Macaca fascicularis: one gene and its partner. The protein of the gene in region 1 purifies or fractionates together with the protein of each later gene. This does not show direct contact. Links are inferred from orthologs where the notes say so. Each region holds a gene or a part of one and is shown on either strand. Other genes may lie near its edges.

Region 1 (10,446 bases):
GAAGCAGAGGGTGGGGCACACTTCTACACAGGCACAGAAGTAGCCCCATGTGTGGATGAGAGAACAAATTCATACACACAAACCCACCCCCCGCAGGGGTCAGACACTCAAACAAGACCAGCACCCATGTGTACAAACACACAGCATGCACATCTTTGGGGCATTTCCTTCCTGCCCAGGGCAACAAGTACCACCTGTCCAAGGCCCAGCCCTACTCAAGCTTGACTGCAGAAGGCAGGAGAGGTCCCCAGGTGGGGGATCAGGAGTCTTCAATCTGCAGCAGCAGCTGAACTCCAGCTGTGCTGGGCTCATAACAGGGCTTCCACCACCCCCTCCCACCAGGGACCCTGATGCAGAAGGGTACCCAGGGAGCAGCAGGAAACTAGCAGAGAGAGAAAAGCCACATGCTCAGGGGCGCCTCACTCTTTAGGAAGGACACTCCTTGGGGCCTACTATTTCCCTGCACACAGGAGATAGGCTGGGGGAGGAGCCTGAGCCACTGGTTTCCCAAGAAAAGGATCCCTCTTCAAACTAGAGGAAGCGAAGGAAGAGTCTGGACAGGTACCAAGGCCAGTGGCAGTTCTCAGTAGTCAAAAAAGATAAAATATAGCTCTGAGACACCCTAGGAGGGCCCACACTTCTAGTACAACAAGGCTGTCCTTTACAGCCTGTGGAAACTCCTGAAGAACAGCATTAAGTGATAGTCCAAAGAGAGGATGAGAAGCAATTGGCCCTCCAAGACCACCAGGATGGTGCGGGAGTTTGTTGGAACCAGCTCCAGCTGACTCCTCTTCCCCTCCCAAGCCTCCTAGCTCATCCCAAAAGCAGCTCCTCCCACAAGTACCTTAATAGTCCCACTCCATTTGATTCTCACAGTCCTGAAGGGGCAGGCTCCTGTTGCCATTGTACAGATGAGAAAACTGAGGCTCAAAAAGAAAATTGCCTTCCTCAAGGTCATACAGCTTGTCAATAGCAGGGCTGGGATTCAAACCCAGGCCAGGTATGGTGGCTCACACCTTTAATCCTAGCACTTTGGGAGGCCAAGATGGGACAGTTGCTTGAGTCCAGGAGTTCAAGACCTGTCTGGGCAACATAGCAAGACCCTGTCTCTTTTTTGTTAAAAAAAATATATATATATATCCCAATCAATGTTCCCTCCTCAACTCTCCCTTCCCCTACTTACTCTAAATCAAATATCTATCACTCCACTCTGTGCCCTGCTACCTCTTCCTTCACCCCTCAGTGGATCACAAGGGAGAAGCGCCATCCTTGCCTGGCTCTGCAGGTTTATGGGTGGGGCCGGGACATGCCAGAGGGAGATCGGAGAAGACACTGGGGGCAGCACACATAGCCCTCCACCCCCACCAAAACGTGGTGCCCACCTGCCTAGCAGGCATGGCTGGGTGACTCAGCTGCATCCGGGGGAGATGCCAGGGCAGTGACTCACCTACCGAGAAGAGCTGAGCCTGGCACCTTGCCAGCCCCAGGACAGAAGTGACTTAGTCACCACCGAGACTGTGATGCCCAGCAGGCACGGCCCAAGGATTGGAGACAGGGGCAGACTGTCCCTCCGTGGTTACATGCGCCCCCTGGTGAAGAATGGGCCTCAGCATTTTGGGGCCAGCAATGTCTGTGCCAGCCCCTGCCCCCTCACCACTGCCCACCCCCACCACACCAGGCCCTGCTCCAGTGCCAACAAGTTTTGTGAGACCCCTGGGCTGCCCTGCCCCCACTGCAGCCTGCCCATCACTCACCACCCACTCTCCCACCTGCCCCACCTCCTCCTGCCACCCAAGTTGTACCCAGGCTGTGAGTCTCCTTTAACATGTCCTGGCAAAACTCCCTGCCCCCACAGCCCCTCTCACCCTCTCCCCCCATACACACATGCACTCATACACACTTCTGCCAGCCTTGTTTCTGCCAGCAGCTGCTGAAGTTGTTGAGCAGGAGGGAAATTGGGAGGGTGGGGTGCAGGGATTGAGTTACCAGAGCTGATGGGGTGGGCTGTCACCCAATCCCTTCCCCAGCTAGTCTCCACCCCCACCCCACCCCTCTACCCACAGTCTCCCTCACCCACCTGCCTCCCTCCCCACCTCTGGCTGGCAGCCTACTGCCCTTTAAGCCCCTCCACCTAAGCTAGAAAATAAATGTTCAAGAGTATTTGTCATGCTAAGACCAGCCCAGTATATGAGAGAGAGAGAATGAGACAGAGACGAACAGAAAGAGTAATTCCTGTGCTCAGTGCTCTGGCTACAACCACTAAATATGTGTATGTTGAGCCAGAAGGGGGCTGAGCAACTCCACAAGTCCCAGAAGAGTTGGTGGGGCCCAAGGGGAGTTGACAGGCTAAACAGCCTCAATCCATTTGCACTATTGATTTCTCACACACCACAGTAGGCCTGATGGGGGGCATGATAAATCAGCCCCCCAGAGACACAGAAACTGAGTGGAGAGAAGGGGAGGGGCTCCTACAATACAAATGGTGGTGCACCATGACCTGCTTGGTGCATTGGGGGTGGGCAGCAGAGGAATAGGAGATGTTGAGTGGCATGAGGCAGGGTAGGGGAGAGGGAGAGGGTGTAATGCCTGTCTGGAACACCTCCTTCCAGCTGGGTCTGAACTAATTTGAAGGAAGAACGTGGGGGACAGATGCACCATGTGTGGCTACACAGGCAGGGCCTTGAACAACCCCAGGGGGTGCCATTCGCATCATAATCTATGGAATGGTTCCCCCTGCAGCTGTGCAACATGGTGGCCCTTGGGGAGAGCCTAAGGCAGAAGACAGAAAGCAGACTGAATTCTGAGGGACCACAATTCTCCACTACGTTTTCTCCCTATATACACCCCAACTTGCCCCAACTTTCCCTGCCTCCAGGCCTCAGAGGGGGCCCCCTTCTGACTAGTGATCAGAAGCCAGTAGTAATCTTCCCACTCCTCAACCCTGCTCCCTTTTTTTGCTGGGGAGATTGGCAAACAGCCACCATGACCCACAGGTCCTGGGCAGGGTAGGAAGAGGGCTCACAAAGGGCTCTAGGAAGTCTGGACGTCCCTTCTGTAAGGTGTCTCCTAGCCCCACAGCTCACCAGCCTGTGAGCCTGCTGGAGCCTGTCCAGTATCTCCATTCACACCAGTGGCCACAGGCCACCCAAACAAACCCAACTCTGACCTCCTTCCAGCCTGGACACAGACTCTCTCCACATGGAGACTTATAAACAAACCAAGCTGGGATTTACAGAGACCCTGCACAAACAAGCAGAGGGGAAAATGGACCAGGTGTGCCTGGCTCATGGTCCTCCTTGCTGCAGTAGGGGAAGGAAGCACACTGAGGTGTAGTGAGGAACCATGACAACAGAAAAATGGTGCAAAGGGAGGGCCTAGGTTCAGGTCTCAACACAGCCAGTGACTGATTGAGTGTCCTCTCTAGGCCTCAGTTTCCTTCTCTGAAAGGGGAAGGGATTGCCTAGGTAGCCCCTAAAACCTCTTCCAGCTCTGAGTCCAGTTGGATAAAGAAAGCCCTGAAGGGTGCCAGGACTCTTCCACCCACTCCAGCCCAGCCCGGCCCATCTACCTGGGTCAGGTCCCTCTGGGTAAGGTCTTGCCCCTGCTCCCCATGCCTCCTTGTTCTGTCTTCTGCCCCTCTGGCCCTTCCTCACACCTCTGCCTGCCTGCTTACCCTCACCTTGGCAAGCCCCTCTGCCTGCCCCGTGCTGCTCTGCACGTCCCTCCTGCCAGGGGACTGACCAACTAAAAATAGTCCCTGCAGCCTTTCTCGCCCACAGCTGCCCAAAGAGCAGGAAACGAGGGGGGCAGGGAGGCCCATGCCCTGCCTTCCCCCAACTAACTCCCAGGTCAGAATCTTGTCCAGCACTCCAGCCTGGGGCTAGTGCCAACTTGGCCATCCTGGGGGCATCCCACACCCCTTCCCTAGGGGGAGGCCTGCCCATAAGTGCCTGCAATCACAGAGCTGCCCCTACCCTGTGGGAGGAGGAGAAAGGAGGCAAGCGGTCTAGAGGGAAACCTTCCCAATTTCTGACAAATCAGTGCCAACCACATTGTGGGCACCCAGAGGGCAGGGCCTGGCTCCACTGACTGGTCTTTTGAGGGCAGGAAGAATTGGCGTGGGGAAGTTTGTGACAGTTTCCTTCATCCTGGCCCAAATGGAGGGAAGACAAAATAGTGCCCCAGCCTCAATTATGTTAGTCCCTTGCTCCCCAAAACCAGGGATTTCGATAGCCACCCCCAGATATCATGGGGAACACAAGCTAAAAAATGAGAGCAGGAGATGTAGGCTTCTGTAAAGACAGAAGCCTGGAGGCAAGAATGGGCCATGCCTGCCAGGCTGGGCATGTGCTGCCCTCAAGCTGAGTCAGAGGCTAGGAGGGAGAAGCTGGGGTGCTACAGTGCCAGAGGCTACTGTGCCCCCACCCCTGTCCCACCTGGGATTTCTGACACCTCCCAGCCCTAGGGGAAGGCCCTCCCCACACAGAAGGAAGGAAACCAGCTAAGCGACTCTCTGGAGCCCTGCAGGGGAGCCCTGCACCACAGGCGGGTGGGAAACCCAGGAGTCCTGGCGCCCAGCCCAGAGAGAGTGAAATACCTTGGAGGGGAGGAAACAGCCCAGATTGAGGCAGACATGTGGCACCCCAGAAGCTCCCAGATGTGACCCACAAGGAGGTACTGGCCAAAGGGTCTAGAGGAGGCAAAGTGAACACATTTCTGAACAAGAAGAGAGAAGAAAGTGGGGCTATGGGAATGGGGTGGCGGGGGTCAGCCTGGCTCATCGCTGTCCTTTCCTCCTTGTCAGAGTCAGAGACACTGACATTAAGGTCATCAAATATCAACCAGGTCCTCAGGACCTTGGTGTGTTTCCTCCTCTCCTAGTCTCCAGACCTCAGCCTGTTCATTCCTGAGCTTCCTCTGGCACCCCTTCCTTGGGGCCAAGCCAAGTAAGAAATCAGCAGGCCCAAGGTGGTGCTCGGGAGGCCGGGGCAGTGCCAGGGGCAGTCCTCATACCATCCTCCCACTGGCTTCCCTCCCGCCTGCTCTTAGCCGCCACACATATCTCAGCTGTCGAATCCGATTAGGGCTCCTGCCCAGTGAGCCGGACAAGGAGGCCACTGGGCAGGGGAGAGAGAGACAAGGACGCCAAGCAGGGATGGCAGAAGGAAGGTGGAGACATGGCTCAGGGGAGCAAGTATGGGGCCCCAGAGGAAGAAATGCCTGGTGGAGAGATCTGTACTCTGTGACCACAGGTGCTCTGGCAACAGCTACAACCTGCATTAGGGGAATTCTGCAGTACCCAGGGCAATAGCCCTGCCTGGTTCCTCCATCCCCCAGATGGGCAAAGGATGGGGGAAGAAAACTGAAGGCAGAGAGATTGACCTAGATTTAGGAAGAGGATTCCATCCTAGATCCCCCCAGCCATTACTACCGTTTGCAGTGAGCTTTATGATACATTCTCTGTATGGTCTTGGTGGCAATGTCCCTGCTTGCTACTGATAGCCATTTTTACAAATGAAGAAACTGAGGCTTAGCAAAGGGGAAGACATATATAAACACACATAGTTAAGTAACCAGGCTAAGTCTCCAGTTCAGTCCTCTGATTCCCAGTCCACTGCTCGCAGTCAGAATCTCTACTTTCCTTCTTGGATCAAGACCAGAGGGAAGTCTGAAGCCACTCCATTATCCACCGTGTCCTCCAAAACCAACCTTTAGGGGACCCAGGGAGTCATGGAAGAATGCAGAGCACACCCCACACCTAGACAGAGCTACCAGATGGGGACATGCCACCCACTCCTACCACACACTGAGAGCTAGAGGAGTTCCCTCAGTGTGACCAGTCTCTTCTATCACCCCCTCCCCAGTCTACTACCCCCAGAAGCAAGATACACACTCACACATGGTAACTCATACAAGATGTACACCCTTCCTGTAAACCCACCAAACCAGAATGACATGCCCTAGATCTTCAGAGAGCAGGGCCTGTCTGCCCACCACAGGAGAGAAAAATAAGCCACTGTAAACAGTAGGTGCCATCTAGCCCTCTCCCAGAGAGCCTGTAGTGGGGCAGAAGCTTGGGGACCTCGTAGCTCTAGAGAAACACCAGGAGCCTGGGATTCTGAAAGCCAAGGAGCTCAGGAAGCTGGCAAGGCTGGGTGACCTCCTCAATCTGGTCTACACTCCCTTCCCTAGCCATCTGGACTGAGCCTGTTCTGGCCTGGGCCACACTCTGGTATCCCTCCCCTTCAATGCATGCAGCCACCTCTATCCAAAGCTTCTAGCTCTTACAACCACATTGTCTCTACACACACACACACACACACACACACACACACACACACACACACGGGTGGGGTGGGGGCTTCTGCAGCAGGTGTTGAGATGTTGACAGCGATGGGGGCTCTAAGCTGAAAGAACTTTCCTAGAGGAAAAGGTCACCAAAATGCTCACAACCTCCACTACCCTCCAGCAAAGCCTTTAGCCACCCAAGTGTGAGATGAACCTGGAAGGGGACATTAGTTCCCCTACAAGGTGAGTAGGGAGTGGGGGCAAAGTCCTGAGTTCTTTGGGCGAGGAAGCAAGAAAGAAATCCCTCGGGGAAAGCTCAGGTCTCTCTCTGGCTCTCTCCTCTGTTACCCCAGCACTTGCCAATTCTCCAGTCTAGGTGAGGTGGGGGAAGGGGTATTAGGCAATACTGCAAAGGAGGGTGCAAGGGCGTGGGGCCTGGGCAGACCTTCCCCCTACTCCCCACTCTTAGCTAGAGACCGGGAACTGCCTCAGGAGGAGGGTGCAGGGGGCTCTGAGCTTTCAGACACCCCACTGTTCCCAGGCTCCCACCTCCCAGGACTACAGTGAGCGACGGGAGAGGAGGGATGGGGAAAGCCAGAACTGGCGAGAGGGAAACGGCTAGATCAGAAGCAGAGGCCAGGGTCAAAGGCGGCCAAAGAAGAATTGGGAAGGGGTGTGCATGGTCCTACCTGCTCAGGTGTGTGCTGGCAGGGGGGCGATGGGGTTCCCAGGAGAACCGGGGAAGCCCTCTCAGCTCGATTCAGGATTCCCCCCTGCTTCTGGGTTAGGCTGCTGCAAGAGGCACGGGTTCCCGTTGGGTCCTAAAGCCCACTCGTCAAGCAGAAGGCTCTCCCCGCCCTCTTCCACTGGGTCAGCCGGCGCAGAGCGGAGGACTGATTGGGAAGAAATAACCCACTGGAAGAAAGATGGGCGTCTGGTCGTCGGCTGGGGACAGGAACAGTTCCCTGTCTCAAATACACAGCATATGGACAACTTGAGGATAGGATGGCATGAAACAGGAGAAAGTAGACATTTCTTCCTGCCTGCCCTGAACAGATGGATTTAGGTTTTGGTGCTGGAGGTGGGGTTAAGATCTCTTTCCCTGCCACTCCTGCTAAGGCATTCGGCTAGAGGTTTTGGGAAGGGAGCATTCGTTTGGTTGGGCGCTCACTTTTGTCCTCTTCCTCATGGACTGCAGGAGTCCCTTCATCCCTCCCAGTTATTCCCAAGTGCCTAGGATGCCATCCAGGGGGAAAAGAAAACAGATTTTCAGCATGTAAAAAGTGCAGGCTCACTTAGATGGCAGCTGGAAACAGGGGGGAAAAGGTAGGACCAATGTATGTGTACCTGGGAATGTGTGGGGTCTGCAAATGTACATATATAGGCAAGAGTATAAACAGGTGGGGTTAGGGAAGGAGAAAAAAACAAAAAAGGACTTTGGGTTACATCTATTACTGGAAATGGTGACTGGCAGTGGAAGAACAGGATGCAGAATCTAGAGGTCAACTAGTGCCCCTACCCAGCCCTTAGTAATGTCCCGAATCTTTATGACCAGAATAAACAAGTTAAAGAGAGAATATTTTCCTAGATACCATTTAGGATAAATCTAGGGGCAGAGGGACTTCAATACAACAGATCAACTTCAAGGTCAGTGATTCGGTTTAGTATAGCCAGTCTTCTCAGTAGCTCAAAAGGGAGAATTCAGGTTTGGTGGGCTACATGGGCAAGAGAAAGGTGGATAAGAATTCTGAAGTTGTGGATTGAGAACATTTTGCAAGGAGAGTTGCACATATCTCTAGCAGCAGAGCAGGGAAAATGTCATCAGGGGAAGGGCCAGAGGAAGTCAGGGACAGACTTGAGGGGAGAGGGCATGGCCTTTGCCTAGAAGGGGAGAAGACACCAGCAATGCCTCCACCTCTTTCTGTCTTGCAGGAAGAACTGAGTAAAGGAGCTGGACTAAGGATGGAAGGCCCCAGGGTGGAGTCCATGGGGTGAGTTTAGGTCAAGCCTTTCACCCTAATGTGCCTCAGTTCTCTCCCAGCTGTTAAACAGGGCTCTTCGTTCTTCCCAGGCAGTTAATGAGTGTTTACAAAAGGGTTTGGAGATCCTCAGATCTCAGCTGGGCCACCACTACAGTTATAAAGTTCAATAAGAGCTGAGTGTTATTTGGGGAGGAGAGAAGTAGGGGAAGAAGAAAACAGACTACTCTCTTACAGACTAAGGATAAAACTAAGCTCAGAGAGAAGCACAAGCCTAGCTGCCACAGGATATCCTTGTGCCCATGGATGGAGGTCACCCCACCCCCCATCAACCACCACCAAAGGCCGGCCTCCAGCTAGCTGTAGGCAGAACTCAGACTAGCAGCTGGTCTTCATTAACTCCAGCTTTTTCACCCCCCACTGTGAACCCACAGCTTCTACAGGCCTAGGCTAGAGGGGGCTGCCCTAGCCCGACCTTGCAGCTGACACTGGGGTGGGGGGCACCGCACCAAAGGCCAAGTTACCAGCTGAAAAGAAAGTCGAAGCAAGAGTCCTTTTTCCCATTGGGAGCAAGAAGAAAGCAGTGTGGGGGTGAGAGGGTGGAGGTGGGGGAATTTAGGGCAAACAGCAGGCAGTGAAGTCAGCTGGATTGAGGCCCAGAAACCCCCACACCCTGGGGCCAAGTCTTACTCTAGCTTTGCTTTCAGCTTAAGTCTTGGCGAGGCCCCAAACTAGGGAAGGCCCTGGTTGCCCCTTTCCGCCTCCCTACCCCCACACTTATTAAATACACATTTTATCTCTCAGCATCTTCATTATCTTAACTGAAGGAGACAAGCAGTGGATGGCGGCAGCAGAGAGCGTCAGGAGAGGGGGGCGGTGCGGGGAGCAGGCGCACCCTTGTTATAAAGTGCTGATCTAGCTCTTTCAGGCAGTGTGGGAAACAGAGGAGGGATCAAAGGGAGTGAGGCTGATTCAGAACTCAATTAGAGCTTTTTAAAAAACGAAGCTGGCTCTCTCCTTTTGCCAGTCTTCAGCCTTTACCCAAGCCCCTTGCACCCAATTAACTTCCACTGCCAGTGCCTTGGGGTTGAAAATCAAGGGGAGGCCAGAGGGCACACCTTCTCCCCTTACAGAACACACTGCTTCCAAGAGGAAGACCTGCACTGTTTGTAGCTTAAGAGAAGGTATCTTAGAAAGTACCTTATCTTTTCAGGAGGAACCTGAGATCACAACTTTCCCCAAGTTAAAAAGTGGGATATCAGGCAGGGCACAGTGGCTCACGCCTGTAATCCCAGCACTTTGGGAGGCCAAGACGGGCGGATCACAAGGTCAGGAGATCGAGACCATCCTGGCTAACACGGTGAAACCCCGTCTCTACTAAAAATACAAAAAATTAGCCGGGCGTGGTGGCAGGCACCTGTAGTCCCAGCTACTCGGGAGGCTGAAGCAGGAGAATGGCGCGAACCCGGGAGGCGGAGCTTGCAGTGAGTCGAGATCGCACCAGTGTACTCCAGCCTGGGCCACAGAGCAAGACTCCGTCTCAAAAAAAAAAAAAAAAAAAAAAAGTGGGACATCAAAGATGGGCTTCTCCCTAAACCCTTGCCTAGAGACCCAACTTCTAGCCAATCTAGCCACACTGCGTAACATCCAGACAGGCAGCTCTCTTGCCAGCCTGTAGGTGAGACTCTTCCCCGCACAGCCAAAGCGTCCCACCAGCAACATGGAAGTTGCCTCAAGCAAAATGCCACTACATCAGAGGGAGTGATTGGAATGCATCTGTGAGGCTAATGCTCCAAAACTGTGCCAAGACACATTTTCTAAGACAGAGCACCCTTGTTATGCAGAGGCCTGCTCCACCTTTGTGCAAAAGTACCAACATTTACCTTCACCTTAGAACTGTTCTCAGGCCGGGCGCGGTGGCTCATGCCTGTAATCCCGGCACTTTGGGAGGCCGAGACGGGTGGATCACGAGGTCAGGAAATCGAGACCATCCTGGCTAACACGGTGAAACCCCGTCTCTACTAAAAAATACAAAAAACTAGCCGGGTGAGGTGGCGGGCGCCTGTAGTCCCAGCTACTCGGGAGGCTGAGGCAGGAGAATGGCGTGAACCCGGGAGGCGGAGCTTGCAGTGAGCTGAGATCCGGCCACAGCACTCCGCCTGGGCGACAGAGCGAGACT
Region 2 (10,487 bases), on another chromosome or scaffold:
TACTTTGGTTTCCATAGCAATGATGGAATAATACATTTTGCTAGGTCATTGCTTTTATTAGCAAACTTATTCTTTGAACTTTAGGTAAGGCTGTATTTATTGAGGGAAAAAAACAATCACTTTATGTAAGTTCTTTCCTTTAGGGCTGCTCTTTCAAGAAAATCGCAATTAGTAACCATCTATATATTTGAAAATATTTGGAGTATTTGGGGGCCTTTAAAGTATGCCACCTGGTTTCATCTTAAAATGGCTTCTGATATAATTTTAAAATGTAAAAGTTCTTAAAAGTGCTGATTGGGCGCAGTGGCTTCCGCCTGTAATTCCAGCACTTTGGGAGGCCAAGGCAGAGGTCAGGAGTTTGAGACCAGCCTGGCCAACATGGTGAAACCCCATCTCTACTAGAAATACAAAAATCAGCTGGGCGTGGTGGTGGGGGCCTGTAATCCCAGCTACTCAGGAGGCTGAGGCAGGAGAATCGCTTGAACGTGGGAGGCAGGGGTTGCAGTGAGCTGAGATCACAACACTGCACTACAGCCTGGCGACAGAGCAACACTCAGTGTCAAAAAAAAAGTGACTGCAAATACAAAAGTAGAGTGGCTAAATTTAAAAGCACAAGTAAACAACAATGAAATGTAAGCTAGAATAAAGATGAAGTGTCTCATACATACCAAGTTTGGGCTGGGGCTTCTAACCCATTTCTGACCACCTGATTTTAACACTGCAATTTCAGCCCTACCTTTCATCAAGCACAGAAAACATACTAAACACAGATATTTTAACCTATAGGTGAAACTAAAGATAATGTTTTCACCAATTATGCTGTACATGAGTTTAAAATGGCTTTCTCAGAGCAAAATTATGTGTTATGGAAGAAAATGAGTTTTTTTTTTTTCTTCAAAACACTGCCATTACAAGTTTTAAAATCCATTAGTAAACATCGTTGTTTACGTTTTTGGGTAATCAATTCTATGAGCGGTGACAGGGCAAGAAGGCCTTAGTGAGGGAACATCACCGGCCTTCCTGGAACCAGATTTCTCATGGAACTGAATTCTGAGCCAAGCCCGTGCTGAAAAGGTAGGCTATTTATTTAAAAAAAAAAAAAAAAAAAAAAAAGTTGACAGAAGAAGAGATCAAACACGTGTTAGCTTTTAAAAGGATGAATACCACTTACACTATTTACACAACTCACAGAATTAACAAGAAAATTACATACCAGTGTGAGTCCTCAGGTGAGCTTTTAAATGAGAAGACTTTGTATAAACTTTTGTGCAACCTAAAATAAAGGAGAACAGCATGTCATTTTGGAGATCCTTTTGAAATCTTTACATTTGATGATTCAGTGTTTAAAATCTGGCTTTAAAGAAGAAATCTCTCATGCTAGATGAGATTATTTGAAGCTTCAGATTTAAAAGTTTTTTAAAGAGTCCTCCCCCATTACCCTGTTAAAGGCATAAAGTGATTTGTTTTATGTATCACTTTAACAGGAAAGAATGCAGATAATCAAGCCAAACTACAAATGGAAAATTTGTGTTTATATTCCAGTAGGTGCTGTACTTCCGTAATTTAAGAGTTACTATATGTTTTTTGGAAAATTTTAATGGCTCTAGAGCTGACAATGCTAAGCCATTATCCAAGATGACTGTAATTTTCTGTACTCCCACATTTGTTTTTTCATTTAGCACGTCATGCCATATCATGTATCAAAGTCAATAAATTTTGTCATGTATTAATCATAAACTAGCTTTCCCAGTAACTTGTAGATCTATTCCATGTATTGTCTTCAATTTACACTTTGGGCCACGTATCTCATTCAAAACTGAGCATATGCTCACATGCCATCAAAACCATTCTTAAATCTATCCTGTAGACAGTCTTGTACCTACCATCACGCTAGCTGCCTACAACCTCCACTTCACTACCAAACCTTATTTTCCCCTACCCTACTTTAATCTCTTTCTGGGGCACTTAATTTAGAATTAAAAACTGCAATTTATTCAATTGCCATTTTAAAGTCACACACACACACACACAACCTATTGATGCTTCAACCAGGTAAGAGCACATACCAGGGTAATCGCAGTAGTGGATGCGTCGTTTCTCCAAATCGGGATTACTCCTTCTATTGTATCTGACAGGTTGGATGTTTTGTGAGTTAACTGGCAGGGTGGTGGGTAAATTTGGATTGTGAATTGCCAGTTTAGAAGCAATTGTAGCAGCATAGGATGGAGGTGGGGTTAAATTCTGGAGCATCTCTGCTTGTCTATCTGGACTTCCAGGCTCTGAGCTTGGTGGTGACGGGGGAAAATAAGTGGCCTGTTGTGGAAGAAACTGACTTGGCATTGTGTATGTGCAAGGGGGCATGCCCTGGAATTGTTTCACTGCAGTCTGCGGAACAGCAGAGGTGTGTGTGTTAAGGCCTGCCATGGCAGCTGACATAGAAACATTAAGAGTGTCCATTGCTGCTGTCTGGTTTGTAGAACTGGGCATATCTAGATCCGGTGTATTCAGTAGCTGGTACAGGTGGCCCTGCTGGGGAGGGACAGAAAGATGAAGATCTGGTGTAGGAAGTTCTTGTTTGATGAAAATATTGTTCACCTCTGGAGCTGCGGTCTGGTGTGAGCTGAATATACTGGTGAACTCAGGGAGGGCCTGGGTCGGGGCCGGAGGAGGGGCAGTCGTTTCACTCTGGTGGCTGAAAATGGCAACAGGTTCTGTCTTGATGTGTGTTACGCACGGTCTCTGGGATTTGTAGAGGCCAGTTCTCAGGTGAGTGATGTCAGGGAGGAAGACGTTCATGTTGATACTGTAAGGTAACCCTTCAGTGTCAGTGAAGAACTGGTCTACGACTGAGGCACTGTCTCGTCTATACTTTTTATGCTCTGGAATTATAGGAACTGGAGGAAGCTGAGGTGTCAGATACTTCTCCATTTCACATCTTGTCTAAAAAAGAAGAGATACAAACATGCATAATCCACCTGATTCACCATCTTGGGAAGGACAAACAATCGGCGCCTACTAAAAATTACCCCAATCCCTGTATAAGGTACTCGGGCAAACTCCTCAGTGTTGCTTATAAACATATCAGGCTTATTTTGTCGATTGTGTAATAATTGGTTGACCAAAACCTTATGAAACTGTGTAACTGGTAAAACTGCTCCCCCAATCACCCCCAAAAGTGAAAGACGCAAATCAAGAAAAAAAAAGAAAGCAAACTGAAAACATTCCTTTCTGATGCAATAACAAGGTATCACCCCTGTACAAGCAGGATTCCCTGCCCCATTACACAGTTAAATTTGCAATTAGAGTACACTATTGAAATGTTGCCAAACTACCTCAATTCTGTTTAAGTCATAAACATTAAAAAGCGTGTTTTTTGTTTTGTTTTGTTTTTTTACAGAAAAAACTATGCAAACCTTTAAAATATTGCAAAGGTTTATTTGGCTAGACACTTCAAAAGTAATATAAAAAATATTCTTTGGCTACTTCTGTGTCTTTTCTTGTTTACAGTTCAATGAGAAATACAATGTTCTAAGCAAAACCTTGTATCCACTGAAACAAAACAATTTCACATTCAATATTTGACCTAAAGGTTGATTTTAATCAGCAGATCCTGTAATTGGTTAATATGATAATGAAATGTTCCTATTCATACCCCTATCTAAAACAGATCTTTAATTACCTAGGGGAAAATCACTCCCTCGCTAGAGTGCTGCTAAGGAGCCCGTGGGTGGGGAGGCTGCTGTATCCCTAGCACAGTCATCAGCAAAACATTTATCATGTCCTCCTCAGTGGGCCAATGCTACATTCCCCCCGACTCTGTAAAAAGCTCAGTCATCCCTTATCTTCTTGTGCCTCCAGAGCAGAAAATTGACAAACTGAAATAACCAAATACTTTTCAAACGATGATCTCTTTTCTAGGCTTTTAAATCAGCTTGTAACAAGTCGCCTCAAGCTTTTTCCAGCTATCTTCTCTCCTAGTATAACTTAAGCCTACATTTTTTAACACTGAAAAAGGAAATTTCGAAAGATAAGATAACCAACTAGATGGAATGGCGCATAGTATTAGCTTGGCACCTTAATCGGTAAATAAGACAGTCATTTTCTGCTACTACTTCATTTCAAATGCGTTTCATCTCGGACCTTGGTGTGGATCCGGACGGGGTTTCCCGGATAGACACGATTTAAAAATAAAAATTAACGCTCACGTCATGTGAGTCACATCTCTGACAAATGCCACTGCCCTCTCACAGCAGGACCCTGACAGACCCCACGGAGTAGGCGCTGGGTAGCAAATATGCGATACGCCAAAGGGCTACTAAATGAAGTGTCTTGAAATAAACTGAACTAAACCCTTTCGTGCACTGCGCTCCCGCGGCGGTTAGTGGTTTCTGATTTTAGCTCTTCCAGCTGTTTGCATGTGGGTATGTTTCCAATTTTTTTTTCCTTGGGACAGGCTAAAAGTCCCGGGAAGTTTTTTTCTGGGCTATATGACTCCCTGCGTGGGCGAAAGAAACAGGCGGTTGCTCTAATTCGGCTGCTGGGCAAGTGTAAAAGCCAACTGCCAGCTTTCAACGCGGCTCCGGGAGGAAATTTACGCGCACACGAAGAAAACAACACCCCCGGTCTTTTTTTTTTTTTTAAGGAAAAATAAGCGCTCCAACACAACCTTAGCTTTCCTAACTCTCATTTTCCAAACGCGGCCCGCGATCGCTTCTAAAGCAGGTTGAGCCACCGGCTATGAAATCTTGAGCAACCTCTCCCCAGCACCCCAATTTGCGTTTCTACTTAACCCGAGACGATGGGGATGGGGGAGCTCCAATGCCTTGGCACTGGGGAGCGGTAAAGGTGAAGACGTAATTTAAGTAAAACTGAGCGTAAGGTACAAGGTTTCGTCCCTCAAGTGTAAGAAAAACAACTAAGGTGCGTGTGAGCACCCAGTTCCCTCCCTCTGATCTCTCCCAGGCCAAGCCGCCGGGGCAGATTCCCCTCTATCCTTCCCCCCTCCCGACCCCTCATTTACTCTCAGCGAAACGCGGGTCCCCGGCCAGGCGTGCAGGGCGGGGCTGCCCACCCAGCACCGGCTCCGGTGCGCCCCGACGCACGCCCCAGCCTGGAGCGGCCCCTGTCGCCCGCGCGTCGCAGCGACGGGACACGCCCGGGCCCGGGAGTGCAGTGGTGGGAGGGGAGCGGCTCTTCCTACCTGGACTAGCTCCTCGGGAGGCAGCCGCGGGCCGGCAGCGGGCGGCTGGGCCGGCTGCGGGGCCTGCGCGGGCGCGGGCTGCGCCTGCGAGCGGTGGTGCGCGTGCTTCAGCTCCTCGCCAGGGAAGAGCGCCGCGTCGCGGGCCGGATTTGCGGCGCCCAGCACGGGCTTGAGCTGCGCGAACACGGGCTCGTCCTGCGGCGCCGGCGGCTGGGGCACGGGTCCCAGGCGGGCGCTCATGCTCAGCACCCGCGTAGCCATGGGCACTCGGGAGCGCGGCTCCGGGCGCGGGTCGGGCGCACTTCCCACCTCGCCCACCCTGGCTTGGGGCGGCGAGCTCGGTGCGGGGCTGCGGTCGGAGGAGGGGAGAGGTTTCGGGTGGACCCCTCAGACAGCGGCAGGCAGTTTTCGAAGGCGCGCACGAAAAGCAAAACTCTTCCGCTCTTCCACACGTAAACGCCAACGTCCTACGGGCGGCCACTTTCTCCCGCCCCGCCCCACTGCGCTCTCAGGCTCTCCAGAGCCCGCTCCCGCCACCGCCGACCTCAGCGAGAGAACTGCGAGCGCGCGTACCTGCCCCACGACTACTGACACTTGACGCCCGCCTCTATTTCACCCAACTCCGGGGGGGCGGGGCCCGCTCGCCTGATTGGCAGCGCCGCCGCGAATCCCGAGGCCTCAAGGCCGGCCGGGCCTGAGCGGCCAGCCTATGAGCAGGGAGAGAGGCAGCCAGGGCCCCGCCTCCGCCGGCCCGACCGCACCCCTCTCGGGCCACGAGCTTCGCGCGCAGGGCGGCCGCGCAGTTTGTACACAACTTCTCTGACAGATTGGGCTGGCGGAGCTGGGGGCGGAGGGAAGTAGCGGAGCGGGTGGAATCTGGGAAGAGGGGGAATTAGGGTGGAGACGCGGAGGGAGAGCTCTTCGCACTGTTCTCTGCCAGGATTAGGAAGAAAAAGAGTATTGCACGTCTTAGGTGTTGTGCAAGGACCTGAAACTCAAAAGCTGAAACCCAGAAGGCAGCTAGGTGGGGGCGCTGAGGCTTTTAGAGATTTGTCTAATGAGTGTGTACTTTTAAATATCCGAAATATACTTCTCTTTAGCAGAAAACTAGGGGCGGTGTGATAAACAAATTTAAAACAGCTCTTGTCTCATGTATCTTTAGCAGTGACTGTATCCATTTAACAAGGCAAATTCAGAATGCCTGAATAAAAGATTTGATGGGAAGCGTTATTTTCAAATCCTCGCATAAAAGCCTGAGTTTTTCCCACTCCTTCAGGATTTTAATTGCTAGACGTTTTCCCACACATTTGTACCTCCTATCCGTGTGTGGGGAGGAGGGCTTGGGCCACATGAATTTTGAAGTTTCTAATATTTAAGCCATGTTGATTCTAGCCGAAGCATGGAATCTAATTTAAGCACGACTGGCTCAAATGTGTACTTAAATAGACATTACATCTTTGACTTATTTTTGCTAGCACTGTATGTTAAAAAAATGGACTTTAATATTTACAAAACAGAAACCTAGCACATTTACCTCACATTGTGGCACCTTTTCCTACGAAGAGACAACCAGAAAGCCACAAACATAGACACATAGACACTGAAAACTGGGAATCCAAATTTGTTGGAAGGTAATAGCCAAATATATTACCGTCCATTTACTATGTTGTTATAATGGGAGGGTGAATTTTTGCCAGGAATCACCTAAGGAAACCACTTCCCTTAATCCTTAATGTTCTTGTACATGATTTTATCTGGCTTATTGGGAGGACGGAACAATAAACTGCAATAAAAATGCTTGTGATATTACTACAAATGTACATATGTTGACAGCACAGTATACCATTAGACAGTTTTACATATACGACAGCCTACTCATCGCTTCAGAGTAAAACAGCTTTAAAAAAAAAAGTATTTGAAAAAAACGTTCACTTCAAAGAGCATATCTATCAAAGGTATGGATCTCATTTTCAATGGGTAGAAAATTAATAAGCACATAAAGAAATGTATTTATTATTAGAACATATAAAATTATGCTGTAAACTAGGTTTTTCTCCTTTTCCTTCTCTTCCTGTTGATACATGATTCATTTCTACTAACTGTGACCACTGCCTTCAGAGAATGACTGATGACTACTTTCATGTTACCAAAGTATTATTTAATAAGTGCTTTTGCAAGTTTTTCTCTAACCAAACAGCCCCATGCTGTCCACCTTCATCTTTAAAAAGCTGTCTTGCTTTTCTCTAATATCAAACCGATCATGTAATTAATTAGCTTAGAAACAGATTATAGAATTAGGATGGGATTTAATGTAACTCTTTTAAAAAATTGAGCTCTGAAAGATTGTTAGTTACTTAATTCTGATAACATCAAACCTAAATGTGATGTAGATAATTCTTAATAGAACTTTTGTGCTCTTGTAACTTTAAGCTAAATCTAACTTAGATTTAATACATTTGGTAGCTGTATCTTAATGTGCTTTTAAACCTATCTAGACCTTTCCTTTTGTCTTTCTTTTTACGAGAGCTTCAGTGGCCTGGTATTTCAATCTAAGTTTTCACTGCAATAAAATCCCTGTATTTTACTGGAAATGCTTCCATAATTTCACACCACTTTTTAACATGCTTTCATTTACAAAAGCTTTTTCATTGCAAAAAAAGAAAAAAACACACACAACTAATATTGTTTTTAATATTTTTAGTCTTGTTGTTTCATATTTCCACTTTTCATAATGAATATAGATATGAAGCTAGCGTTGGGGTTCTTATAGTAACTGAATATATTCCTTTTTGCTCCAATACAGTAGCACCTTTTAAAATTTCATTTCAGGCATAAAGATTCATGAAATAGGGCTGCCACTTTTAAGTAATAGTTTCTCTGAAATGCCCTGCTCTGCAATCTCACAGAAAATAACTAGCTTAGCACTGTACAATAGTACGGAAATTGGAAAGTAATCCTTTTCGGAGACATTTGCCATGTGATTCTGAGCATATAAAGAACATGTTCAACCAAGCTTCCCTGCTGTTACTTTTAACATAAATGCTACAGCTGCAAACCTGTTTCATCGACTTAGTAAAAAGGGTTAAAACTTGATAAATATTTTTCAAATGTTCCAGGTTCTACATTGGCATGAAGCCAGACAGAGTGAATGGACAGATCCTCAATTACTTTGAACTTTCTAGTTCTTTGCATTCCTTCCCGCTTAGTAGTGCTGTACCATTAGGGAAGATGGGAGAAAACAAAAAACAAATGTCAGGTTTCAGAAATCAATTAGTGGCCTGGCAGTGGTGTGTTAAGTGAACTGTGCCAAAACAGGGGATTCTGAGGGAATGAAATAAAAATGTTGAGTGCTCAAGTTAGGTAGGAGGGTAAGCATAGAAGCAGTGTGCATGCTTAAGTCCTTAGTCACTGGGCAACACAGATTTAGTCTTAGAATAAACCATAAGTGTCACTATCTTTACGGGAATAAATACGGATGAATATGCGGGGGCTGAACAGGCATTCAGTGATGGGGGAGGGGGTTTGAAGGAGGCAGTGGAAAAAAATAGATAAATAGCTTCTGAATGATGAGATGAGGGAAATATGAAGCTATCACTAGGGCAATGTTCACACAACGACACGGCAAAAGGAATATCTAAATTCAGTTGTTTGGCAAATCTAAATTCAGTTGTTTGGCAAACAACTGAAATGTCAGAGAGAGCTCGAAATTAAGAGGTATAGAGTATCACAGCCAACAAAACTGTATTCACTTCGAGTAGAAAAATATTCATAGAATATTTATTTCTGCTAAATCAGTATCAAATTGCCAAGTGATCTTGGGCCACAGGAAAAAGAACAAGAATAAACATGAAAAATAAAGTTTTATACGGGAGCACACTCTTCTCTAGGGTAAGATTATTTAATTAAAGTGACTGGTAGTCATTGATTGTCCACCCCTGTTAGAATCTGTATCAGTGAAAACTTAAAACTATTGTAATTATTGTCCTCTCAAACATTTCACATCTGTAGTCTTTGTATTTTTTCATTAACGGCAACCACTTAAAGCCACATATCAGAAAAAAAGTCATTAAGGAAATAGCCTGATAAATAGAAGCTTCAACTGAGATTAGTTGGAATTTAAAGCATTTAAAGCAAAAGATTACGAGACGAGAAAGAAGATGCTCTGTTCATTGTTTTTGTGATGAAAAAATATGCAATTTAAATAAGACTAAATACATCTATTTATATTAATTAAAATTATGTCTTAAGACAACAACTTAATATTTTATTTTTGTAATGTCTCTTGCCTCCAGTTCTCAAGAAATTACATTTTATATTTCAGTTTGGATTTTTAAACATGTTCTTCTTAAAATATTTCATAAAACTCCCTTTATGCGCTTAATCCTAAGGATACTATAATTTATCTAGCCTAATTTTAAAACTCTACTAATATCCAAAAAACAGGAGAGTTTTACCTTTTGGAGAGACTGGGATTGCTTTTTCCACCTTGTTAGTATAATAAGTAGACAAAAGTGACATAAATATAAACGCCTGGAACCAAGTTATAGGCCAAGCATATTGTAGCTTAAACTGTACAGTATTTAAATTTTGACTCGAAACATGATAGGCAAGGTTAAGAGAAAGGTCTGAGCTAAAGTGGTTACACCAAACAATCTTTTAGAACATTAGGGAGGTCTCATCATCAGCATCACAATGGGTAGTGTTTTGAGCCAATTGCTGTTCATGTGATGACAAAAGCTGTAATGGTACCAGGCTGTGGGGAACACCCTGTGAATGCTCAAATGAACTGTGTGTGCATGGGTCACACGGAAATACTCTTTTAGATGTTGATTTATAGATGAAGTGTGTAAAAGTTGTGCCTAAGAGCAATGCGAGTTCTTCTTGAGTAAACTTTACAACTTTGGGGAAGGGCAATTTGACAATAAGTATGAAAAAGGCTAAAATGTAAATAACTTTGAAAATGATAGATAATTTCTCTTTTAGGAAAGGTGTATGTGTGTGTGTGTATATATCTGTATTGTGTATATATATATACATGCCTGGCCCACCATACACACGTACAGGTATATATATACACACACATATATCTTTATATATAAAATTGGGCCAGCCACCATGCCTGGCCCAAAATTATATATAAAGATATATGTGTGTGTATATATATACCTGTATGTGTGTGTGTATATATATATTTTATATATATATATATATAAATTTTATATATAAAATTGGGCCAGGCATGGTGGCTCACACCTATAATCCCAGCCCTTTGGGAGGCTAAGGTGGG

What was found.
Region 2: the proteins of RARA (region 1) and KLF5 purify together in Homo sapiens (affinity purification with western blotting; 4 studies listed by BioGRID). This does not show direct contact. The link is inferred for Macaca fascicularis from reciprocal best matches to the Homo sapiens genes RARA and KLF5.

Annotation. Positions count from the first base shown.
Region 1 is NC_088390.1:61,393,360-61,403,805, reverse strand, and holds the start of RARA (retinoic acid receptor alpha), read right to left. Parts: upstream 7,085-10,446; 5' UTR 6,978-7,084; intron 1-6,977. UniProt on the Homo sapiens protein: Receptor for retinoic acid. Retinoic acid receptors bind as heterodimers to their target response elements in response to their ligands, all-trans or 9-cis retinoic acid, and regulate gene expression in various biological processes.
Region 2 is NC_088391.1:64,022,364-64,032,850, reverse strand, and holds the start of KLF5 (Krueppel-like factor 5), read right to left. Parts: upstream 5,787-10,487; 5' UTR 5,462-5,786; coding exon 5,201-5,461; intron 2,941-5,200; coding exon 2,067-2,940; intron 1,274-2,066; coding exon 1,214-1,273; intron 1-1,213. UniProt on the Homo sapiens protein: Transcription factor that binds to GC box promoter elements. Activates the transcription of these genes.